Schizosaccharomyces pombe: one gene and its partners. The protein of the gene in region 2 binds, or shares a complex with, the protein of the main gene of each other region. Each region holds a gene or a part of one and is shown on either strand. Other genes may lie near its edges. The genes, in order: psf1, psf3, psf2 and sld5.

Region 1 (5,565 bases), on a different chromosome or scaffold from region 2:
AGAAGACACATCTTTTCTTAAAAGCTCTAAGACATAGTTTGTTTTCAAATTGGAGTCAATAGACCCGCGTTTTAGTAAGGTGGACAAATTCTTTTTATCAAATGTAAACACTGAAACCTCTTCGTTGGTTCCCTTTTTGGATGCCGAATAAACAGTCCAAGGACCTACTTGGACTGAATTTTCTTTCTGGATATCATAATCATATTTAATTTTTTTGGAATTTGATACTAAACATTCAACGTTAGAATACTTACTTGGGATACGAAATGTATCTAAATAGATTATAGAAATGACGATGAGGATGATCAATTACATAAACATAACTACAATCTTTCATACAGCGCTGATAATCGAGTTTATCAAGGAATATAGCATACCTAGTCGAAGTGCATTGGCTAACATAAGCTGAAAAAGTGGATGGCTTTGGAAAAAAACAACTTAAAACAACAAAAACAAAAAGAAAAAATTATAATTATTTTTGAATCCCTTCGAAGCAAACCAAGTATAAAAATTGAACACCTTTTTTTCGCGGTAGTATACAGTGGAGATGGTAGGAATGAATGGCTTATGGATGAAATTTTTAGGGTCAGTTCAAAAAGCAGTGAAACTCTTATTTGGGAAACAGAGGATTAAATAAAAAGACAATTAATTAAAGATTATAAGAAAGTCGTATTTTTTAGTTTGATAATCATAACTTAGCCAAAAAACCTTGGGCAATGAGTCGTTCAACGTCTGTAGCACGCACATGCAATTGTGAATTTTTAGTAAGGTTAATAGTACCATATTCAGTTTCAATATCTCCAACGTCCTTCAAAACTCGGACGTCTATGAACAAATTTTTAGGAGGAACCAAAGAACCAGTCAAATCCAGCTCGGACCAAGCGCCTTTATAAGCAGCCAAAAGTTCTGAATATCTCGTTAAATAGTCACGCTCATAAGTACTTAGAGATGTATCTAAACAAGATTCCATTCGTTTGCCTCCGCTCCAACAGTATTGACGAAGCCGCTGCAGCCTTAAATTATGGTAAGCCATTAAACATCGCTTATTGTAGATACTAGAAGAATGAAACATCAATAGAGCTGCCGCTTCAGAAGGATGGTCCTGGGGCTGGAAAGGTTGACTAGCCTCATGTGTAACATTTTGAAGAATTCCTAGACTTTCGCGATCTGCTGCACGAATTTCGTTGACAACATCATTAACGGTGTCCGCTTGGTAAGGTGGGAGATAATCTAAATACTGAGTTCGCTTTGAGTCCCGAATTAATTTATTTGATCGATTCCCCAAACCATTCTCCATAGTGATTAGAAGCACTAACTATCACGATATGCTTAAACAGATTTTCCTAATTATGTTTAGTTTAAAAGAAACGGATTAGTATAATTAACAACGACACTCGATAGTTGTTTAAAGCTATATTGAATGGTTGTGGATGACAAGTCGTTGGAAAATGACATGTCTTTCATAAGACCATAATGATGCATTCCTTAGTAGAAATTTTACTGTAAATAAAACATGGATCTTTTATAACAAAATTATTAGTTGAACCTACTATGCGAATTTTTAAGAATTTATTATTTAAACATTCACACAGATTTAAAATGAAGCGTATACTTACTTGGATTACCTCAGTTTCATAAAGTAATGTATACTAATTCAAAGGATTGAATGAGCCCTAAAGGTATCATTAAACCGAGTTCCTCACATCGTCACACATGGAATGAAGAGATGATTTAACGAAGCTTCAAATTATCAACTTACAAATCATTGCTACTAAAATTATAGAAACCAGATAAAGTTTCATTTCAAAATAAAAGAAAGGATATCATTCAATGATTACAATTCTCACGTAATATTCAGAACACAGTACGATGTGCTTGCTTCATCGGACAGGGCTTTAAGGGAATAAAACAATCACATTGATGAGAAATTAGAATCTAAAGGGGTACAATTTAAAACCTATCACTCATATCCAAAAAATGGCAAGGCATATTTAGCTTCAAATAATTGAGCTTTAATGTAGCTTAAAATGATTTTGTCAGTAAGACTTTCTTTTCTGCTTACAACATAAAATCCAATCGATGTATTGGCCGTACTCAAAAAAATCCGCTTTATGTATAATCTGCGGAAGATTACACAAATTCAATAGCATGAATATCACAAAGAGCCAACGAACCAGTCCAGAGTAACAATCTGTTACAAAAACAAAACTTTTGATGCTTATTGATGATAGCAAAATACATGATCCAATATTTTCTCTTCAAATGATAGGTATAAGGACAGGGAAAGAGTCTCATACGTAAAGTAATAATATCTCAATTATTTTTTATTTCAAACGAAAGTTTCCCCTTTTTTTCCACTTAAGGAAAATTCCCTAAAATCCAACGACTTTTAATTAAAGGTTCATTAGAGATTAGTAATTATCATTACACGTATTATTTACATCGTTTTTCGATTAAAGCCAAACGATCAGAACCATGTTCTTCATATTCTTGACGTGATATCCATAATTGATGAAACGTTCCAAGACTACTTAAAATAGATCCACCTAACCATGAAGCATAACTGCGTTCAACAACATGACCGGAAGCATGGATTTTAAGACGGCTGCCAGGATATAATTTTGAAAGTTCATTTTGCAGACGAAGAGAGAATCCTTGCATCAAACTAGTGCCTCCACAAACAATAACATTGTTGAGCAAAGAAGCACGGATATCAACATCGCATTCCGAAATACAGTTCTGGAACAACTGAGGTATCCCCAAAATGCGAGAAGAAGTGTTGGTAACCGAAGAATCTTGTTGTGATACCTCATTATTTTCGGTTTGTTCTATTGGCTTCGAAGGTTCCTCGTTCATTTCTTCATCACTTCCTGGCACAAACAAATGTTCAGGAATTTGATAGCGTTCCGCGCCAAACATCATACGGGAACCGTCTGGAAATTCGAACTCTGATTCAGCAATCGTGGTTTCAGATGAAAATGGAACATCGGAAATGAGAGCACATTCTTCTTTCCATTCATCGTAGACTCGCTGGACCTGAAATTGATGATAAGAATCTGTAGTATCACGAGGACGTAACTCACAATTAGCTGGCTGCCCTATCTCCACTGGATTTTTGCTTTTCACTAAGTACTTAGGCATCACTTCGAAATTCTTATCCCTGAGAGTTTGCGCCAAAATATCGTTAATTGCATTCCCAGAAAAATGTTGAACCTGATAGCCTTTTTGAAGCACAAAACCATCATATATAGCAGACACCGAGCTACGCTCCGCACCAATGTCTACTAAACAAGCAGTACCTTTCCCGCTTGCAAACGCCGCACACGTCTCCTGCTTGGCGAGGTATGTTGCAGGACAACGCAAAGATTCAAACATCGTTTCTAGTGTTTTCACTCGATTTTCTGGGGGATTATCAAATGGTTCCGTAATCAAGATTGGATGCTCTAAAGGATTAGTCTTCAACTGCTGCTCTAATCCATAACGCCAGAGATCTACAGTAACATCCCAATTTTCAACCCAACCATTACGAATTGCATTTTTTATTTCCATTCCAGGGTTTGATTTATATATGTATTCCTCACCGAACAACCGTCTGCCATCACTGAACTCTCCACAGTAGCTAGGGAGTACGCATTTGGGAATATCTTCTCCAGAAAAACCTATTCGAGTCCATTTGCTTCCAGGATCAATTACAATAGCTGAAACTTCATCTCCGCCATAAAATGCGCTAGTCATCTTACCAGCAGTACAGTTTGTCTACGTGATAAGATTCTCAGGCAAAAGTTGTCGTTGGCACTTGGACAAGACGCATCGTTGAGATCATGAAATAGGTCGCCAACGGCTTTTCTTAAAAATACCCATCACTCTTTCCTATTTTATTTAGTTGGTTTAATTAATTAAAAATAAGACTTTCATTTAGAAAAGTGTGCATTCTTTAAGCATTCATGCAACGAGAATGTCGCTAATTTTCAAGCTTTTAATAGACGCGTCAAGTAAACTAGGTTTTCAAAAATAAGCATTCATATGAAAGATTGGGCTCATAGCACAAAAAAAAACAATTGTACAAGAAATCCACAATAGTTGAAAAGATAATTATTATGCTCCTAATAAACAAATTCATTTAGTGATTTTTTGAGTTTTTTGCTATAGTCAGCTACGCAGTTTGGTATATATTTAACGATACATAGAATTACGGTGAGTTTCTCTTACGACTTACAATATAGCGGTATGCAGTATGTTAACTAACAATGTATATTTATTGTTATATGAAGTCTATTAATATCGGTTGCCGAAATAGCGTTACAGCCGAACCTCGTTCCTCAGTTCAGTTATGAGCTATATTAGTGATAGGTAACATTATAACCCAGTTAATACAATACCTATACTCAGTTGCTACTCATACAACCTGTGTATTGTAATATAATAGATCACAAGGAAAACTCACCGCAGTTCTACGTATCCTTAAATCAGATACCAAACTGCGTAGCTTACACACTATACTAAATATCGGTTATCTAATATAGTATAATGAAGCACAAAATACAATTTAGCGTGGGTTTCTGTAATTCGTCATTATGCTGCTCTTAAATGTGAACCATGCGAATAGGTATTTTTTATAATTGAGTGCATAGATTTTCTGTAGTTGAGCTGTTCTTAAAATTATAAGATATCAATTCTCTTTTCTCCATACGAATGTGTGCTCACGAATTTGCATCAGATCTCAACCTCTGATTAATCTGCTTCTTTGAACATTCGATCACTCTTTGGTATCAAGTATCTATTAACCAATATATAATACAATTTAAAGCAAAAAGACATCTAATAATAAACTTTTTCTTGTCAATTATGTCTTAGCCGCTTCTTAATCAAAAAGATAAAAATCAATCAATTTATTATTAGTCCACCTAGACCTACCTTTATAGTTTTCTATATAAGTTTTTTTATTAACTCTTCCCCCAAAACAATAAGTAATTTTATATGCAAAACGTAATCCGAAGCAAAAATCAGAAACCTGTTGCGAAAGAAAACAGAATCAAATGGAACTGAAAATACACACATCACCCATGGCATTTTGTCAGTCCTTTTAAAAAAATTTTTTTTAAAGAAGTTGAAAGCGAATATATTAATTTCAATACTCTTTTCAACACTTTAATCTATTTAACTTCAAGCATCATTTTAATATTCATAGCAGTAAGTTCCGCCGTCAAGTAATTGAAAACACTGGGTAATGCGATCAACGTAGTATTTGTGCCGCCGACAAATTTCTTTCCGCTACCATCCTGCCAAATGTCACTGGTATCTTCCAATCCCAAAGCGGGTTTGGCACAGCTTCTGCACCTGACTTCTGAGGCACTTCCTACGCCATTCATCGAAATTGTAGACATGATAGAAATAATAGACCCACAATCTCGACAAACCCAGCTCTGGGCATAATCAGAACAATTCATTAAACGATCCTGCATCAAGAACGATGTGCCATGACCGATAACAGCATCACGTTCCATTTCACCGAAACGAATACCACCAGCACGTTTGCGACCTTTGACGGGTTGACGAGTAAGATTA
Region 2 (5,761 bases):
CTTTCAAATGTAAATTAATACTTGTATGCAGTTGAGTTTATCTTGGTTTTCTAAATAGCGCATTGAATGTTGTATTACTTCCGCCGGTGATCCTTAATTTACTTAATCAAGTCTTTACTATAACATACCCACTAATTCCAAAGTTAAATGAAAATCTACATCTTTACACATTGTTCTTACGGGCCTTTATTTACAAAAGTGTTTTATATTTCGCAGTAAGACCTTACTTTTTGATGGTGCGAAATCGTCTATCCGCTCTCATTTCTTTTTAGCATTCATATGAATTCTATTAAAACAATCTTTATATTCGCTTTTCGTTGCAAGCGTTCATATTGGTGTACACCTTCATAAAATTCATCCTTTTAATAAAATCTGATTTTCTGTCACGAGCATTTAATTTACTTTTCCAGAAACTGTCTGTATAGTTCGTGATTTTAGTAGTAAATACTAAGCATGCTAGATTAAAATACATTTTTTTATATTATCAAAAAGGATTAAATGATAATGTATTGTACTGTATTACCTTATGCCAGTATACGGCGTTGTTAGTTGGGACTACTTTTTTGCTAAACAAAATTTCTATATAAGCTGTGACTCTCTTGCATCTAAACCAAATTTTTACCAACTACAAAGCTTAGATTAAAATCCTAACTTGAGTATCTTTAATAAATGGTATGTGTCTATAACCACAGATGGAATCTCCTGATCTTTGATGACCATTTTTTAAAATACAAACTAGAGTTTCTGATTAATTTATGATTTCAAATTCTTGCTGAGTTTAGTTGTTTCCTTCTGTATTTTGGTTATTTCAACACTTATGCTAACATAATTTAGTTATGATACAGTTTAAACTTTGCAATAAATTTCTTTCTTAAAAGTCAAATGTAAGTGTTTGAAAGAATTGTTTATGTTGTGTTGGAAAAGATGAAAAAAACTTTTTTTTGGAATTACCGGCCTAGGAATAGTTTACTCCTATTCCGCTGAAGAATAAATGTGCTGCAATTATGCTGATCCATTACAATATCACAACTTTTTTTATGGGATTTTCCTATTATTAACATCATTAGTTAACTGAAGCAGTCTAGCATATTGATATTATAGTATTTAAATCATTTAATCATGGATTTAATACATACCTTTTAGTTTGTATGTGATATGAGAAAAATTGTTCTCAATGAGGAATAATTAGATGACGAGTCTGATTCAATATGAAGAAAAGACTCTTAAAATTCCATTCATGCTAACTGAGAGAACAAATTTTTAACCTAAATCTATGCCAATATTTTACTAACATAATTATAGGTTATTCATGAAAGGTATCCAAAACTTAATTGAAAACTAGACTTCAAATATGTACTTTAGGGTATTATTAGGATGATTTATTAAATTTCAAAGACAAGCATATGTCTGATGCCATTGGTTTTGAAGAAGTGAAATGCGTCTGATTATAGACAACCTAAAGTTATATATTTCCATGTCCTAAGTTTTCGTGTTAAAACAACTTTTCTAACGTATTTGCAAGACCTTAAACTAGTTAGATACACTGAAGTTAAGGAGGCTGTTTTGTATAGGTAAGTAGATCAGCTTGAGGTCGAATTTTAGTTCACATGATGTTTTTACTTTAATCACGACGGTCTACGTAGTTTCTACATTGACGAAGATTGCCTGTGACAAGGCGCTTTTTCTGAATGTACTTTATATATCGACCTCTAATTTTTAGTGTCGGTTCGTTTATTAACATTTTTTAGTTCTATAGTTTGAATCTTCTAGAGTTTTTATAAAGTTAATCATAAATGAAAATGTCAATCTGACAAACAAAAGCTAATTTTGTAAGTAAACGTAATATTGAACAAGTATATGTTAAGGATTCTTTTCTTTTTTCTTTGAACAGAAGGGATTTACGATCAACACTCATTTAGTGTTTCACATATAGATTAGCGTGCTATTCTGGGTAGCAATTTCGTCTCGCAGCATGCAATCAACTACGAAGTGGAATTTTGCCAGTTTATTAGGGATCGATGGGCATTATGTGATACTCTCAATACTGTGGCAGCACGAGCTTTTGTTAGCTACTGAATCTTTTAAAGGCTAGAATGAACATACTGTGTTTCTCAAAGTCATCCAAACCCTCAATGAATTGTGAGTTTTGTTGTAAAGCACCTTGAGGATTCAGGGACGCATCTGCAATCAGCATTGCTCTGGAACGTAAAGTGTTTAGGGAAATTTGAACCAAGCTGTCGTCTGATATTCTACAATGAGTTAGTAAGATTTTGAATTTGAGAAAAACGTGTAAAGTTTGACTTACAAATGGAGCATTTTCTCGGCAAAATGGTAATAATGTGTGGTTATGTCCCGAATAGATACACTATTAGGATTCGCCTTTAATGCATTTCGTACTACAGAAGAAAATGGTGCTGGCATATGAATACTAACAAAAGAACTATAAAGTAAGCAAATAAGCAAAATTATCCAATTTTCTATAAGACATTACATGTATATAATGTAACATGCAGAAAAAACCAAAAAAAAAAAAAAACTTTACTTACTTAATTGCTAAAACCTCTGCCAGCCAAAAAGGAAGTTCAACTTTAGAGCCCGTAGGAACCTAAACTGTTTAGAAAGTCAAGTTCTATTTTTATAAACTTCACTAACCATACGCCCTTCATGGCCTAGTCCTGGAATGGAAACTGTACTAGTACATGGAACCTTTTGATTTTCAGACAAGATACTATCAATATCATAGTAATCCATTTTTTTAATGTCTGAGCAGAAGGAATGATAGAAGTGTTATTGTTATTTTATCAAAATATGTTCATTTAGAAAAGTTGCAGTTACAAGGTAAAAGTAGGTAGATGCAACGATAAATTCAAATTTGAGTTGGCTAAGATATAGTGGATAAATAATGAACTGTAATTACACCAGTACTAATCAACAAAAAAAATAGAGATAAAAAAGATTTATTTTTACTTTTCTTAACAGAGCATCTAGTTCAAAAAATTAGTGCTGATAAATATTGTATGTTCGAGTACTAAAAATTTGCTTCAATGTTTAACTCGAAAAGTATGTCATACATGTGTATATTCGTCCTTCTGAAATTGGTCGAAAAATTTTATTAAAAAAAGGAAACTTTGTTCTATAGTTTCATTAAAGAAACGCATATGCTTGTTTGAATGTTATACCTATTTATGAAACTTGCTCATTATGCGATCAAAATTTACACAATCTTTCCGTAAAACTGATTTTTTTAAATGATTTTTAGTCCGTAATCTACAAAACATGATTGCATTGTATTCAAAATTATTTTGCGTATTAATTATTTAGTATGTCATTTCCAAATGCAAAAAGGTTTTAACACCGACATAGGCCAAATTTCATAAGTTATTCGCCAAGTTTCATCAACAGGTTCATCAAGTCATATACGCTTTAATCCATACTTTAGATGTCAACACCTTCGAGTTTATCAGCAATCTTTACCTGAGTAAATAATCAACCTGCTGCCAAACAATGTTGTAAAATCAAAGCAACAATTTGTTGTTCGTTTAATTAGTTACTCATAAAATTAAAGAGAACTCAGAGTTTACTTGGAAGGTAAATTAAATAGAAGTACCCCGCCAACTATAAACAATTAGTTTCAAAGGTTAAGCAGACTAGGATATACAGGAACTTTACATCCAAGACATCATCAAATATGCTATTCCCCCAATGTTATACGCAACAAATGGATGCCTTCGTAAGAATTGATATCGACGTTTGGTGAACACAGCACGAAACGTTAAAAACTTATTCACTACTTTTTGGAGAAGTACGCATCTTCCAAATGTCTTCACTATTCGGCCCTTGCCTAAACTTCATCCACTGCTGAAGACGCCGCTTACGAAGCCCTTCTTGAGCCTCTTCGTGAGCCTTCGACTTGGTTGACAGACACCATTTAAAGTCTTTAAAATTTCCCTTACATCTGTTGTATTCACCATAACGATAGTAATGATTCATTTGTGAGAACACTGTTAAACACATGGCCATTTGGTCAAAGTAATACTGTAAACTACACGGATCCTCAGGAATCCCTTTTTTCAAGTCGAGTATTTTATCTAGTTCCGCATACTGACCAAAAGTGCTTTTTTCATCATTTTCTTTAAAATTATTCATTATTTAAAAGCATACTAGTAAAAATCAAGTGAATTGTGCCTAGGATAGGTAGCTAACGTGACTGCCACTGAACCTGTGTAGCGTATTAGATCCATCAAGATCCCTTCTGCTCATATCATTGCTGATCTGTAAATTGACCGCATCAAATTTGATCTCATTTATATCGAGATTGATCTATATTATTTTGCCAATTTGCAGTATATAAACTTATTTGATTAAGTTTTTGGTCTCCTTCGCCACGTCTTCATTTTGTTAGTTTAAATTTTTTTGACTAACTTAGAAAGGGAAGTTTTTAAAAACGTTGAAATACTTTTTCGATTTAAAAATATATATTTAATTAATTTTCTGTTCCAAAATGGTTGCTCCTCATCTTTGGTTACGTGCTGAAACCAAACCTTTAGAAGAGCGCAGTGCTTTGACTCCTAGAACTGCCAAGATACTCGCCGATGCTGGATTTCAAATTACCATTGAGCGCTCTTCCCAACGTGCTTTCAAGGACAAAGAATTTGAGCGCCTTGGTTTCCCCATGGTTCCTGAGGGCTCATGGCGACATGCACCTAAGGACGCGTACATTATTGGTCTCAAAGAGCTTCCGGAAAATGATAACAGTCCTTTGAAGCATACTCATATTCAATTTGCTCATTGCTACAAAAACCAGGAAGGTTGGCGTGAAGTCTTGTCCCGATTCCCCGCTGGCAATGGTCTTCTATATGATTTGGAATTTTTGCAAGATGACAATGGCAGACGTGTTGCCGCTTTTGGTTACCACGCTGGTTTTGCTGGATCAGCTATCTCATGTTTAGTTTGGGCACATCAATTATTGCATCCTAACAAACAATTCCCTGCTATCCGTCCGTTCCCCAACGAAAAATCTTTGGTTCGCCATGTTGCTCGTCAAGTACGTTTAGCTTTGAAAAAGAATAACAACCAGTATCCTCGTATTCTGGTTATTGGGGCTCTTGGTCGTTGTGGTACTGGAGCGTGCGATTTAGCATCAAAGATTGGTATTCCCTTCGATAACATTCTTCGCTGGGACATTAATGAAACTAAGAAGGGTGGTCCCTTTACCGAAATTACGGAATCAGACATATTTGTTAACTGCATTTATCTGAGCATGCCTATTCCCAAATTCTGTACCGTCGAGTCGTTAAATGTACCTAACCGTAAATTGCGTGTTGTTTGTGATGTTAGCTGTGACACTACCAATCCTAACAATCCTATTCCAATTTATAATGTAAACACTACATTTGATCATCCTACAGTTGAGGTTAAAGGTGTCACAACTCCTCCTCCTTTAGAGGTCATTTCTATTGATCATCTTCCTACTTTATTGCCAAGGGAATCTTCCGAAGCATTTAGTGAAGCTCTAATTCCTAGTCTTTTGGCTTTGAAGGACGTCGACAATGCTCCCGTTTGGGTCAGAGCTAAAAAACTTTATGAAACCATGGTTCAAAAGCTTTAAAATAAATGTTATTTAATTTCAAAGTTCCGGGTCCTTTATATTGTTTCACCAAATTATTGAATATTATTTTCTCAAAAATTAACTTTAGAATACAATTTAGACGGCATTTTCGATGCTCTGGACATTTTTTCCACGTACTTGTTAAATTGTAGC
Region 3 (5,946 bases), on a different chromosome or scaffold from region 2:
ATATTACCACTCATGTCTAGCTCGCCTCTGACATTTGGAGAAGTAATGTTGTTTCCAGAAGTATTGTTAGCAGGAGACATAGATGCTGTGGCAGAATTGATAGGAGCTGGAGACTCAGACGAGTTGGAGATAGAGCTAGGTCTTGAATCATTGCTATCCGCATATCCTTCAGACGTGTGAGTCACTTCAGAAGAAACGGTTGCAGGCACGGTGGCATCATTGGCATTTGTGGCATTAACATCGTCTCCTGTACTTCCTCCATTAGCAGCTGCCTCTGCAGCTTCCTGCGCTCTCAATTTTGATACTTTGTCAGCAGTCAAGAATCGGCCACCAGGACCACGAGGTCGTCGCATAGCATGCTTATGCCTTGATTCATGTAAATATGGTTTTTTCGTAGTCTGCACACCACGCAATCTCTCTTCTAACTTTGCGCGAGCTTCTCTACGTTTCAAAATTCGATGGTATTGCTTTGCATTCACGTAAAGCCCCTCGACCGGCTCATATGGATTCATTGGAAAATGACTATTCTTATTTCAATTGCTCTAACTATTGGGAGGATCTCAGGAATCAAAATTCTGCTCGTTACGGTATATTCGTCTCGTTGGTCGGTTGGTTGGTTTAGGTGGTTTGTAACTCCGCAGGCGCTAGCGACTACCAATGGTAAGCAGCTATTCTTTACATATCGGTAAATGTGTATAACGATTATTGTCGATCTTTCCAGGATTGCAAATAGTGAGGACGGCTTGCAGTGCATTTTGTCACAAACGAATATATAATCTTATGTACACATATGATAATGTCACTAACTGAATGGCATAACTATTTTCTTATGAATTGGGTTAAAAAAAAGCTAACAGTCGAAATATAATACAACAGAGGTTGCATTGTAGCGTATGGCACTGGAACACGTTATACCAAATATCTTTTTTAAACAGTTTTCAATGTTGTATGCGATGTAGTTGAAGAGGGAGACTTTTACCTCGTACAATATTTTTTTATTTGATATTATTAATAATTTACTTAGAAGTAAGCATCATCAATTCTTATGTACCTTTTAAAGTGATGTGTTTCAACGCTTTTATTTTGTAAACTTGCTGCTTTTTTCTAATTCTAGGTCATTATTCTTCTTTCAATTTATAAAATATCTTTTGGGTACGCTTTTTTGTGCAATCCTCTCCTTTCTAACGTTTGTTTACATATTGAGTATTAGGTAACGATGTTACTTACATATTAGTTGAAGATTTATTGTTTATACAACAACTCTTATTCCCACCACCTTTTCAGCGCACCCAGAAGTACCGTCTTTTGATCAGCTGTTAGCAAACATCTGTTTTGTTTTTTGATAATTTATAATGCTTAATGATGAACAAGCGTAAAAGAGTGGAAGAGCTTGGAGAGACGAAACATCGTCAAGTACGACAGCGAATTCTCCAAGAACACAAGAACGATATACTTGAAAATTTAGCATTTGAACGTAAGTTTTTGTACCTGGAAGTAGTAAAGTGTTAACGGGTATTTTTCAGTTTCCGATAAAGTACGACGTTTGCGCTCAAACGCTAGTTTACTTGCTTCAACAATTCGTATGCGAGGAGAAATGCGTATCGCCGCTATTCCTCGCGCTCAACGAAATATGCATCTGCGCGATCTAAAGAACCATCTTTCCTGCAATGTGTCTGCCACACCGTGGAGAACGTAAGTGTAATATCAAATTTTACTTTGCCATACGTACTACTGGAAACACTAATTGCTAATTACTATTTCAGAAAAATAAAAGAATTTTATAATCTAGACGAGCTTTCCTCCCAAAAGTCCGCTAGACAACCTACAAAAACGGTGGCATCCTCCTCTTCTTCTTCATCAAAAAGCACCACCGTTTCCAAATCGAGTTCAAAGTCGCAAGTGTGAAACCCTCATCTACTGCTTACTGTGATAAAATTTCACTACTACAAAGTTGGTATTCATAAACACTTCGTAGGATTCATTATCATTATTTTTAAAGTACATCATCCACACGATACCGAAATATTCTCATGTGAAGTCCATTTATTTCCCACTTTACTTTTGATGAGTAACTCATTCTTCTTGGGAAACTTGAACAATTTTGCGCATTCTGTCCATCACCTCTCGAAATATAGGACGTATTTCGTTAATTTCCATTGCACCCAAATTATCCAAAGTTAGTTGAACTTCATTAATGGCTTCCAATCCCGTTCTTGCTTTACTTTGTCTAGCTTCTCGAATGTCCAGCAAAATCCTCCTGATATCCTCAACATCCTCGATATCATCAGCACAGAAGTTTAACAATAAATGCGCCGTTTCTAGCCACCGAAAAGGCAACTCTGAGAATGTCTCGTTTTCCAATTCATCATCTCGTATGTTTTCAAGTTTGCCTATTTCCATCCATTCCGGAGGTACAATCCTTGCCAAATTTTGCTTTTTTAGCTCAAGAGCCAACCATAAAGGAACCCGACATTTTTTGGGAGGCTTCATAATGGGAATCGTCGCGCTAACTAGCGGCAATTGATCCATTGTTTCTGAAGGAACAATGTTAATATACTCATTGCCAGCTAAAAATTCCATTTCCTCTGGTGAGAATGAAATTTCAAGTTCCCTTGGTAAGGCCATCTCTATCACCAACGAACAGTACAAAAATGCCTATCAATAGTACCGTTTTTGGGCTTAATGTCTTTTTTTATTTAAAGTTTTGTTTTTCTATTTTGGAGTTCGTTTATAGCATTTATTGGTTGTTATTCCTTACAGCATAATTTTTTGTGTGGTGGGTTTCGGACTCATAATAGTCACCCTCATCTAAATCACATCTTGCTCTTAGGTCATCGGTATATGATTGTCAAATTTTTATATTTCTCGTTTTAAGGTAATAATTTTGAATGCAAAAACCTTCATTGTCACAAGACCTTATTTGGATATTGAAATCAGTCCAATCTCGTAGGTCTACGAAAGGGTTTTTGCAAAAACATTCTTCGCTTAAGGATGGCTCTCCCAACAAGAAATCCTTCGCTCAGCCAATATCGAGTTCGTTTTTAAACAGAATTTCTATTACCAAAATTGATGATGTGGATTCTTTAAGTGATAATACCCTATATGGAATTGGTCGAAGTATAAATAGCCTGGCACGTTTAGGGATTCAATCAGTGATTGTTCCCACTTCCAATCCAATTGGCATGACATCTCCTTTTAAATATTTGGAGAATGGTACGGTCGTAGCGAAAAAACGTAAACTTTCAATCTTTGAGGAGCTACAGCAACAGCAAAATAGAGTCATTCGAGTTTCGGAAATTTTTTCGAAAGCGGGAGTGTTAACCCGTCCTAGCTACTCCTCTGTATGTCAATTGGGCCCTGAAGGCCCTAGTGTTGAGAATGTGCAAGGTATTTTTCAAGCGCTGTCTTCACTTTACACGGTCATAGTGCCAAGCTCGATTTTAATGCCCAACGTCATTGAGGTTCCAATTGATGGTAATGAGGTTCTTGCTGGTTTAACTTACTCGTTACACAAGCCAAACTTTGGGTTTTGGGTAGACCGAATCGTCATTCTTGATAAAAATGGTGGCATGCCATGTTCTAAACGACAAACTGGTTCTAGTCATGTTCTCATCAATCTGGCTCAAGAGTTTGACGAGTTAGCGAAAACACTTCCACCTTATCATAGAAAAAATTTGATTTTGGTAAGACGCTGTTTGAAAATGTTACCGGATGATGCCTCTGCTCTAATCACTACGCCTGAGGATGCTATGCTTACAAATCCTGTCTTAGACAAAAATCCGTTAATTCACAATGTTTTGACGGATCGCTCTATTATTTCATGTTCCTTGCCGCGCGATCGATCTCCTATTACGAAAACAACTGTTTTGCGTAGCGGTGTACCGGTATATACATTCCTAGGTCCGAAATGTCTAACTGATGGCTCCGTTTCGTGGGAAAGGCTTTGGGTTTTAATTAATGACTCCTTTAAGCGAACGCTTGATATGGACGCATATTTAGATAGGTTGAAGAATTCGCTAGCTGCAGTCATTATTGCAGGGGACTATTTAGGGACAGCCATTGTAACTTATGAACAACCAGATGGAACAACGAATGAAAAGGTCCCTTATCTTGATAAGCTTGCCGTCTCACAAGGAGCCCAGGGTTCAGCAGCAATATCTGATGTTATGTTTAATGTTATGACTGATTTATTTCCCAAAGAGTTGATATGGCGCTCTCGCCTGACTAATCCAGTCAATAAATGGTACTTTGAAAGAAGTGTAGGCTCCTTAAAGTCAAGCAAAACACCTTGGAAACTTTTCTGGACTGGAGACTCACATGTCAGAAATTTGGATCGAGTGAACCAGTATATGAGCGTTATTGATAAAATTCAGCCAACATGGTTGAATTGAGTGGAAGTTAACGATTGCACTTTATCAGAGACAAGATTATTTCGCTTCTTCAAAAGCACTTGTCAAACTTTTTAATAAAAGGAAAAAAGTCCATTTTGATAGGACATTAATTCTCTTTTGCACATTAGATTATAGATTGAGTAGTTTGCCTACAAACTTGCATTTTTCTTTAGTTATGATTTTTGTTTATTCCCCCACATAACCCCCATGTAGAGCTTAGAAAAGGTGATACTAGCTTTTTTCTTTTGTGAGTATCAACGTTTATCAACAAAACTAGTAGTAAACATGTCTTATAAACTTGAGTTGTTGCGTCGTGCCTTAGAACATAATGTTTTGAAGTTTGGAACTTTCACCTTAAAATCAGGCAGAAAATCTCCATACTTCTTCAATTCTGGTAATTTCACTCATGGTGCCGATTTATGCGCTCTTGCAGAAGCCTATGCCGAGACTATTATCGCTATGAACGTTGATTTTGATGTCATATTTGGTCCTGCTTATAAGGGTATCTCTTTGGCTGCTATAACGGCCGTCAAACTTTATGAAAAAACTGGAAAGAGCTATGGATTTGCCTATAACCGCAAAGAGGCCAAGTCCCATGGTGAAGGAGGTAACCTTGTAGGCGCCGAAATGGAAGGTAAAAAGGTTTTACTTTTGGATGATGTTATTACCGCTGGAACTGCCATTCGTGAAGCAATTTCCTTCTTAGAACCTAAGCACGTAAAATTGGCTGGTATCGTCCTTTTGCTTGACCGCCAAGAGCGACTGGACCCCGAAGTAAACGAAAGTACCATTGGTAGATTGAAGAAGGAGCTTAACTTACCCGTTTCCTCCATCCTTACTTTGGACGACATTGTTGACTTTACCAAATCAGACTTAACTGCAGCTGAATCAAAGGCAATGGATGCTTACAGACAGCAGTACCAAGCCAAATGAGCTTATGGTAATGTTTCTTTTAAAAATTTGGAAGGAGGAAAGAGAATAATTGGATAAGTATCTTTTTTGGTTTTTAGCTTTGCTTTTTTAAAGAGAGTGAAGTTAGTTGGTATTTACATATGTTATAGAATTTTTTTATCTGTATATTTGTGGTGATAGATACAACTCATATTAGAAGGAATTTTCTATAAAGCGATTGCATTTAGCGGTATTCAAAAATTTCTCTATAATAGACGAAGGAAATTGGTTTACTTGTTAAGCTTTTGTTTTGCACATATCCATCTATCTTTTGATTAGTTCCGTGAATCTGTTTTTTTTGTGTTTGTTTCTTCTTTTGTGTTATTCGAATCTTTCCAAGATGACAGTTAGGAATGAAGCTACCAAAATATTGAGTTGAGGGATAATTAATGTTTCACAAAATGGTATTTGTGTATTATTTTTGTAAAAATTTGTAGGATTTGGTTTTTAGTGATGATTATTTACGTTCGAAAGACGCATATAATGGGCAATTATAAAAAATTTAGGATTTTATTTTTCAATTCTGCGACGGGTATTTATGCTCTGTGTTTGAAATACCAAATATTAAATAATGGTAAAACCTTTAAACAGAAGCCTGGTGATT
Region 4 (5,549 bases), on a different chromosome or scaffold from region 2:
ATTAATATCCCAAATGGTTGGATACTAGGTTGATTGGGACAAGGGCTGTTTTCAAGTATTTTTTTTGCGATAAAAGTTTCGTTCTCAAATTTCATAGCATCCGATAAAGAAAATCCGAAGTATATATTGTTTATAAACACGCCAGCGTTCTCGTTCCAAACATCCAATTCTACGCCATTAACACTAAATGGATATGACGACGTGTTGGTGTTATTTGATAGAAGAAAGGACATGATGTTTCTACTTGTATAGTATCCATTCGAAACGTTACTATGAGTGATCCATTTTGTTGGCGAGTGGAAAAAATTCGTCCCTACATCTCCTGTATAAACAACAGATTGATCTCTTCGTATAACTACGGTTGTATTCTGCAACAAAAGAGTATACATACTGGTTCTTCCTTCAACCAATCCAGAAGGCGGTGCATCATACAGATGACAGGAAACTTTACCATCATAGCTAATTATAGACAATGAAATGTAGTCAAACATGCCGCACTTTTTCACGCCAAATCTGATCACCGACGGAGGCTCTTTTGAAACATTCTTTGGGTTTGATTGGTGTACCAAACTAACATAAGCGTGTCCACAGGTCCACGGCTTAGTTGGCTTAACTTGAAATGATAATACAATTGGTACTGATGACGATTGTCGAGTAGTAGGATTTTCTAGGTTACTTATAAGAATATGAGGTTTATTACTTTTCAAAGTAATTAAACCATATTCATCTCTTAAGTGGGAGCCTGGTGCTTCAACCAAGTCCCAAACCCCCAAATCTTTGTTCACTGGAGCACGCCATCGAGAGCGCCAGGTTGTGATGTCTTCAGAAGTAAATTGTTCAGAGAATACGGAAGGAATTGTACAAGGCTAATACATAAGTTAGTAACCAAATAATGCAAAAATCCCAGTTATCAACAATTATTTGATGGCAACAAAACCACCTACTTTGTATGTCTTCACATTGAGATCGTGGGCAAAAATCAAGTTTATAAAAAAAAAGTAGAAAAGAAGGGTTTGCATATTCGTAACTTTTAACCTTAACCCTCCTTCCCCAAAAGGCGAATTTAACAGGAAAAGATGATTCTTAAAAAAAGGAAAAAAAACCTTTAAACTTTACTAAAAAAAATATAACACCTGTAAATAATAAACGTAAACGAGAAAATAAACAATTAGGTATAGACAAATGCTAATTGTGAATAAGGGTTCGGTTTCAATTCGGGTTGGTCAATGTCTAAAAGGTTGTACGAGTTGTGTCTTACTAGAATAAATAGCAACCGCGTACGAAAAGATGTTTATATAGCTTTATAAGTATTGAAAATAACTACTTTATAGATTTAATGTTTGTGTTATATATTAATTATTTCACAATTTTAAATTCTCAATATACATTTTGAAGTAACTCTAGGCATGTGATATTACCGGTTTGTTTTGTAATTTTTTAGGTCACTACGATATTAAGATTCTATGTAGCGGTGTCTGACAGAAAAAAAAATTTTGATTTTAAGACTTAGAGTAAATTATTTGATAGTTATAATTTGTATTTGTTTTAGGTACTATATAAGAAGGCGTGTTTCCCTTTAACCTTACGAATACTATTTAGTTTTTTGTTGTAAGTGAAATATTATGTAGTAGAATCAACCTATTAAAGCCTTGCAACAAGCTCTTTAGTCTCAGCATCTCAAAAGCTGTTGTACCTCTCAATCTTTTTGGATTTTTTTACTTCTATCGGTAAGACATAACGGACGTTTAAATATTTTATACCCAAGAAGAGACAAATTTAAAATGGAAGAAAGTTCTGCCGCGAAAATACAACTGCTTAAAGAATTTAAATTCGAAAAAATTTTAAAAGATGATACCAAAAGCAAAATAATAACCTTGTACGGAAAAATCAGAAACGAAGTAGCATTACTTTTGCTCGAAAAAACAGCTTTCGATTTGAACACGATAAAGCTTGACCAACTGGCAACATTTCTACAAGATACTAAACTCGTAGAAAACAATGATGTTTTTCATTGGTTTCTAAGCACTAATTTTCAAGATTGTTCTACATTGCCCTCTGTGAAGTCCACACTAATTTGGCCGGCTTCTGAGACTGTAAGAAAATACCAATTTTTCCTCTCTATTAACCGTATGTAGCATGTACGAAAATATTCTTCTCAAAAAAAGAGAATGGTGTGTGAAACGCCGGAAATGTATCTAAAAGTCACTAAGCCGTTTATTGAAACTCAAAGAGGTCCTCAAATTCAATGGGTTGAAAACATCCTTACTCATAAAGCTGAGGCCGAGCGTATTGTCGTTGAGGATCCGGATCCCCTGAATGGATTTATTGTCATTCCTGATCTGTAAGAATAACTCAAAATGGTTTATTAGTTGCATCCTTTAAATGCATGCCAATTGTATCTATCAGCAATAGTCATCCCTGGTACTTGGGTGCATGTTTTACCATATATAAGTTCTTTTGTAAGTTTACTAACAAAAATTAGAAAGTGGGATCGCCAAACTATGTCTGCTCTGAATTTAATGGCTATTGTTCACGCAACGGATATTGCAAGTATTCGTGATTTGAAATATAAGCATATTCCTCTTTTAGAAAACATTCGAAATAAAGTCTTGACAGAAGTCCCAAAACAATTTTCCGTAGATAAAAATCAGTTAAAGATGTTTGTCCATTGTATGTTATAATTTAAAAGCAAAATAGTTTACTGACATTCCTCTAGATTTACCTTCCTACTACCACTTACATGTACATATATTGCATGTTGACCATGAAACTGGAGACGGCTCTGCTGTAGGACGAGCAATTCTTTTAGACGATGTTATTGATCGCCTTCGCAATTCCCCGGATGGTTTAGAAAATGTAAATATTACATTCAACATTGGCGAACAACATTTTCTATTCCAACCGTTAACTAATATGAATGCCTGATTGAAAATATGGTTGCCAAACTGTTGAAACTGATCACATCAGTTAGATAAATCATTTATACCTTTTTGAAGCTTATAAAATAGAGATAATGATATTGTATTGTTGATCAAATTATACATTTACATGCGAAAATTCAACTTTAAATAACAATCCAGTACAACCTACAGCCTGTGAAATATTGTAGTAATTAATTAATAGCCGGGATTATATTAGTGAGACAACACCAAGTCGAAGGTAATCAGAAATAACAGAGTACCGAAGAATCAAAACATCTCCCTTGTCGAGAGTTATATACTCATTTTCTGAAACTCGAAAGTTTTCTTCGACTGACTCGTTGACCACACAAAACACGGCAGTATCCATATCAGGTGATGCTACCATTGATAAATTTCCGACCTTATCATCAAGTTTATTCATTTTTGCAGGAACTTCTCGTAAAAATGAATCCATGTAATGACGATGTACTATTTGCTGGTGCCTTAAAAGATATTGACGTTCTGGAGATGACAAATACAACAATAAATTAGGATGTGATTGAATGTATTGAGCATATTTGTCAATTTTATTGATTCGAGTTCGCATATACGAGCGTAAAACAAACTTCACTCGCTCAAGTTCGGTTTGCATTAGTACGCTCCTATAACTAGTTGCACTACTTGTTCCAATGGCCAATTGTAGAGTTTCTCGTTGTGCTTCAATTCTATCAAGAACTCTGCTTACAATTTCTTCAGCAAAAGGCAACAAATCCGGAGCCATTCGCTCATTCACCCATTGAGTACATAAATCCTCATAATCATTCTCCACTTCTGTTGTCGGTTCTATTAGCAAATCATCAGCATCCCACTCCATCCATAAAAAATATACAAGGATGCTCAAATCACGAAGGCAAATGAGACCTTGTTGTAAAGCTACAAGCTTTTACTCAAGATATGTTAGTAGTTTACATAGCACTTAAATCAGTCCAATTGCAGAGGTAACAAGTTACTTACGTCCCTTTTCAAACAAAAATCCCAAAAGCATATCTTGCTCTTAAACGACTTTGACATAATCTTCGTTTTATCCTATGCATTCCATTCACTTGTCTTAGTTATCGTACACTTCAGTAACATCTTATATTATTGCCCGTGAATCAAAAAATCGAAGGCTATAATCTTATAGCGAAGAATTGCATAAAGGCGCGATTTATCACTTATACTTTAGAAATTCAGTAAACGAAAATTAGTATTAAAATGTTGGATCAATAAATACAATGGAAAAAGATCTGTGCTCTGAAAGTATTTTAGAGACTGGCGTCGTTTAAGCTCTACAATATACAGCAAACATACAATATTGCCAAGTATGAACAAGTTATTGTCTACACTGCGTGCTCTGTAAGCAATATTAAGTATTTGTACGAAATTGCCAATATATATACACTAATAAAAAGAAACCACTCTAGTATTCCATTTCAATCAATCGCAAGTACGATTCTCTAAGAGAATCACGTAATTAACAACTTTCAGAGATCTATTGTATTTTTCGATTTAAAACGCTTATTCGATCTATCACCTGCTCTCAATAGTAAATGTTGAGTATACAATTCAAAAACAAGTTTCCTTTGGGGAACATCAACGATAACTTTCATAACAGAATCTTGTTTGGGAACACCTAGACGAATTAGTAAAAAGTTACTCAGCAAAGATATTTTTCAAAATACAATGTTTTGAAAATGGTACTTACGAACAACCCTGTTTTCTTTAGTAATTAAAGAGAGCATATGTTTACTTTCGTGGATACAAATACCTTCAAGTCCGACTCGCGTAGTACTTTTACTCCGAAGAACTTGCATATATGCACCTTGATATTCTGCTTTTGCTAATTTGGCCATTAAAGATTCACCTGTGCATCCTGCTATCACTTCTAATATGTAAGAGCACCACATGGAATGTAAATGTTTGAATTGGCTATAGTCAGCAATCTTTGGAACAACATTTAATTGCAGCTTTTTTTTCTCCTTTGAAGACAACTTTTTCCTTTTCTTTGAAGCAACCGACTCTTTTCGATCTCCTTGTTTTTCTAAGTTTAGAGAAGGGACAAGTAAAAGCGGTTTGAAAGCAATTTTTTCGTTTATAACATTTTTTGCCTCTTCAGGTGTTAGGATTTTTGTTTGAAATACCAGGGATTCGGGTGTCACTTTAGAAGTTGAATTGACAGTTTTCAACGAAGAGTATAGTGGATCAGCCATTCAGTACAAATGGATTGTCTTTTGAACGTAAAGGTAATAATAATTAAAGGAATAGCAAGTTATATCTGTTGTATTATTTTACGAAAATTGCTCCATTTGGCAAGTCTAGATATTTGGTGGTAAAGGTAATATGTGAGACTTTTTTTATACTTTTGTACAGCAAGATACTACTTCCAAAGTAATAATACAATTTGGCCCCCGTTTGAGAACTTTTACCCCACTAGAGACTAAAGATATATACCATCAAGGTCATATACACTTTGCAAAATTACAAAACATCGTTAGACTGCGATAAGCATTTTCTGTACTCAGTACATTCTCTTAAGTAGATGATATGAATAAACAAGTGTAGATTAGTCACAAAAACAAGTTTATTTAATAGACAGTTGAAAGATAAAAC

Evidence for each region.
Region 1: psf3 (region 2) and psf1 share a complex: the UniProt entries of both Schizosaccharomyces pombe proteins name them as parts of the GINS complex.
Region 3: psf3 (region 2) and psf2 share a complex: the UniProt entries of both Schizosaccharomyces pombe proteins name them as parts of the GINS complex.
Region 4: psf3 (region 2) and sld5 share a complex: the UniProt entries of both Schizosaccharomyces pombe proteins name them as parts of the GINS complex.

What each region holds. Positions count from the first base shown.
Region 1 is NC_003423.3:2,011,232-2,016,796, reverse strand, and holds psf1 (GINS complex subunit Psf1), read right to left. Parts: upstream 1,436-5,565; 5' UTR 1,298-1,435; coding exon 689-1,297; 3' UTR 501-688; downstream 1-500. Other genes in the region: serine/threonine protein kinase Ppk32, read right to left, coding at 1-227, 378-402; alp5 (Ino80, NuA4 and Swr1 complex actin-like protein Arp4), read right to left, coding at 2,434-3,735; DNA-directed RNA polymerase I complex subunit Rpa2, read right to left, coding at 5,154-5,565. UniProt on the Schizosaccharomyces pombe protein: The GINS complex plays an essential role in the initiation of DNA replication.
Region 2 is NC_003424.3:526,021-531,781, forward strand, and holds psf3 (GINS complex subunit Psf3), read right to left. Parts: upstream 2,857-5,761; 5' UTR 2,752-2,856; coding exon 2,653-2,751; intron 2,606-2,652; coding exon 2,547-2,605; intron 2,522-2,546; exon of another isoform or gene 2,441-2,521; coding exon 2,306-2,440; exon of another isoform or gene 2,250-2,305; coding exon 2,104-2,249; exon of another isoform or gene 2,045-2,103; coding exon 1,983-2,044; 3' UTR 1,762-1,982; downstream 1-1,761. Other genes in the region: SPOM_SPAC227.17C (uncharacterized protein), read right to left, coding at 3,781-4,146; saccharopine dehydrogenase Lys3, read left to right, coding at 4,502-5,608. UniProt on the Schizosaccharomyces pombe protein: The GINS complex plays an essential role in the initiation of DNA replication.
Region 3 is NC_003423.3:1,226,403-1,232,348, forward strand, and holds psf2 (GINS complex subunit Psf2), read right to left. Parts: upstream 2,786-5,946; 5' UTR 2,626-2,785; coding exon 2,074-2,625; 3' UTR 1,906-2,073; coding exon of another isoform or gene 1,764-1,905; 3' UTR 1,746-1,763; downstream 1-1,745. Other genes in the region: CCAAT-binding factor complex subunit Php2, read right to left, coding at 1-512; nbl1 (borealin N terminal domain-containing protein), read left to right, coding at 1,360-1,474, 1,524-1,692, 1,764-1,905; acetylglutamate synthase Arg6, read left to right, coding at 2,889-4,391; orotate phosphoribosyltransferase Ura5, read left to right, coding at 4,677-5,324. UniProt on the Schizosaccharomyces pombe protein: The GINS complex plays an essential role in the initiation of DNA replication. Has a role in chromosome segregation and is required for bir1 localization.
Region 4 is NC_003423.3:2,910,447-2,915,995, forward strand, and holds sld5 (GINS complex subunit Sld5), read right to left. Parts: upstream 3,850-5,549; 5' UTR 3,775-3,849; coding exon 3,130-3,774; 3' UTR 3,026-3,129; downstream 1-3,025. Other genes in the region: SPOM_SPBP4H10.19C (calreticulin/calnexin-like protein), read right to left, coding at 1-866, 945-1,019; nhm1 (m7G(5')pppN diphosphatase), read left to right, coding at 1,782-2,093, 2,136-2,341, 2,483-2,670, 2,717-2,925; pop4 (Rnase P/MRP subunit), read right to left, coding at 4,424-4,572, 4,645-5,149. UniProt on the Schizosaccharomyces pombe protein: The GINS complex plays an essential role in the initiation of DNA replication. Has a role in chromosome segregation and is required for bir1 localization.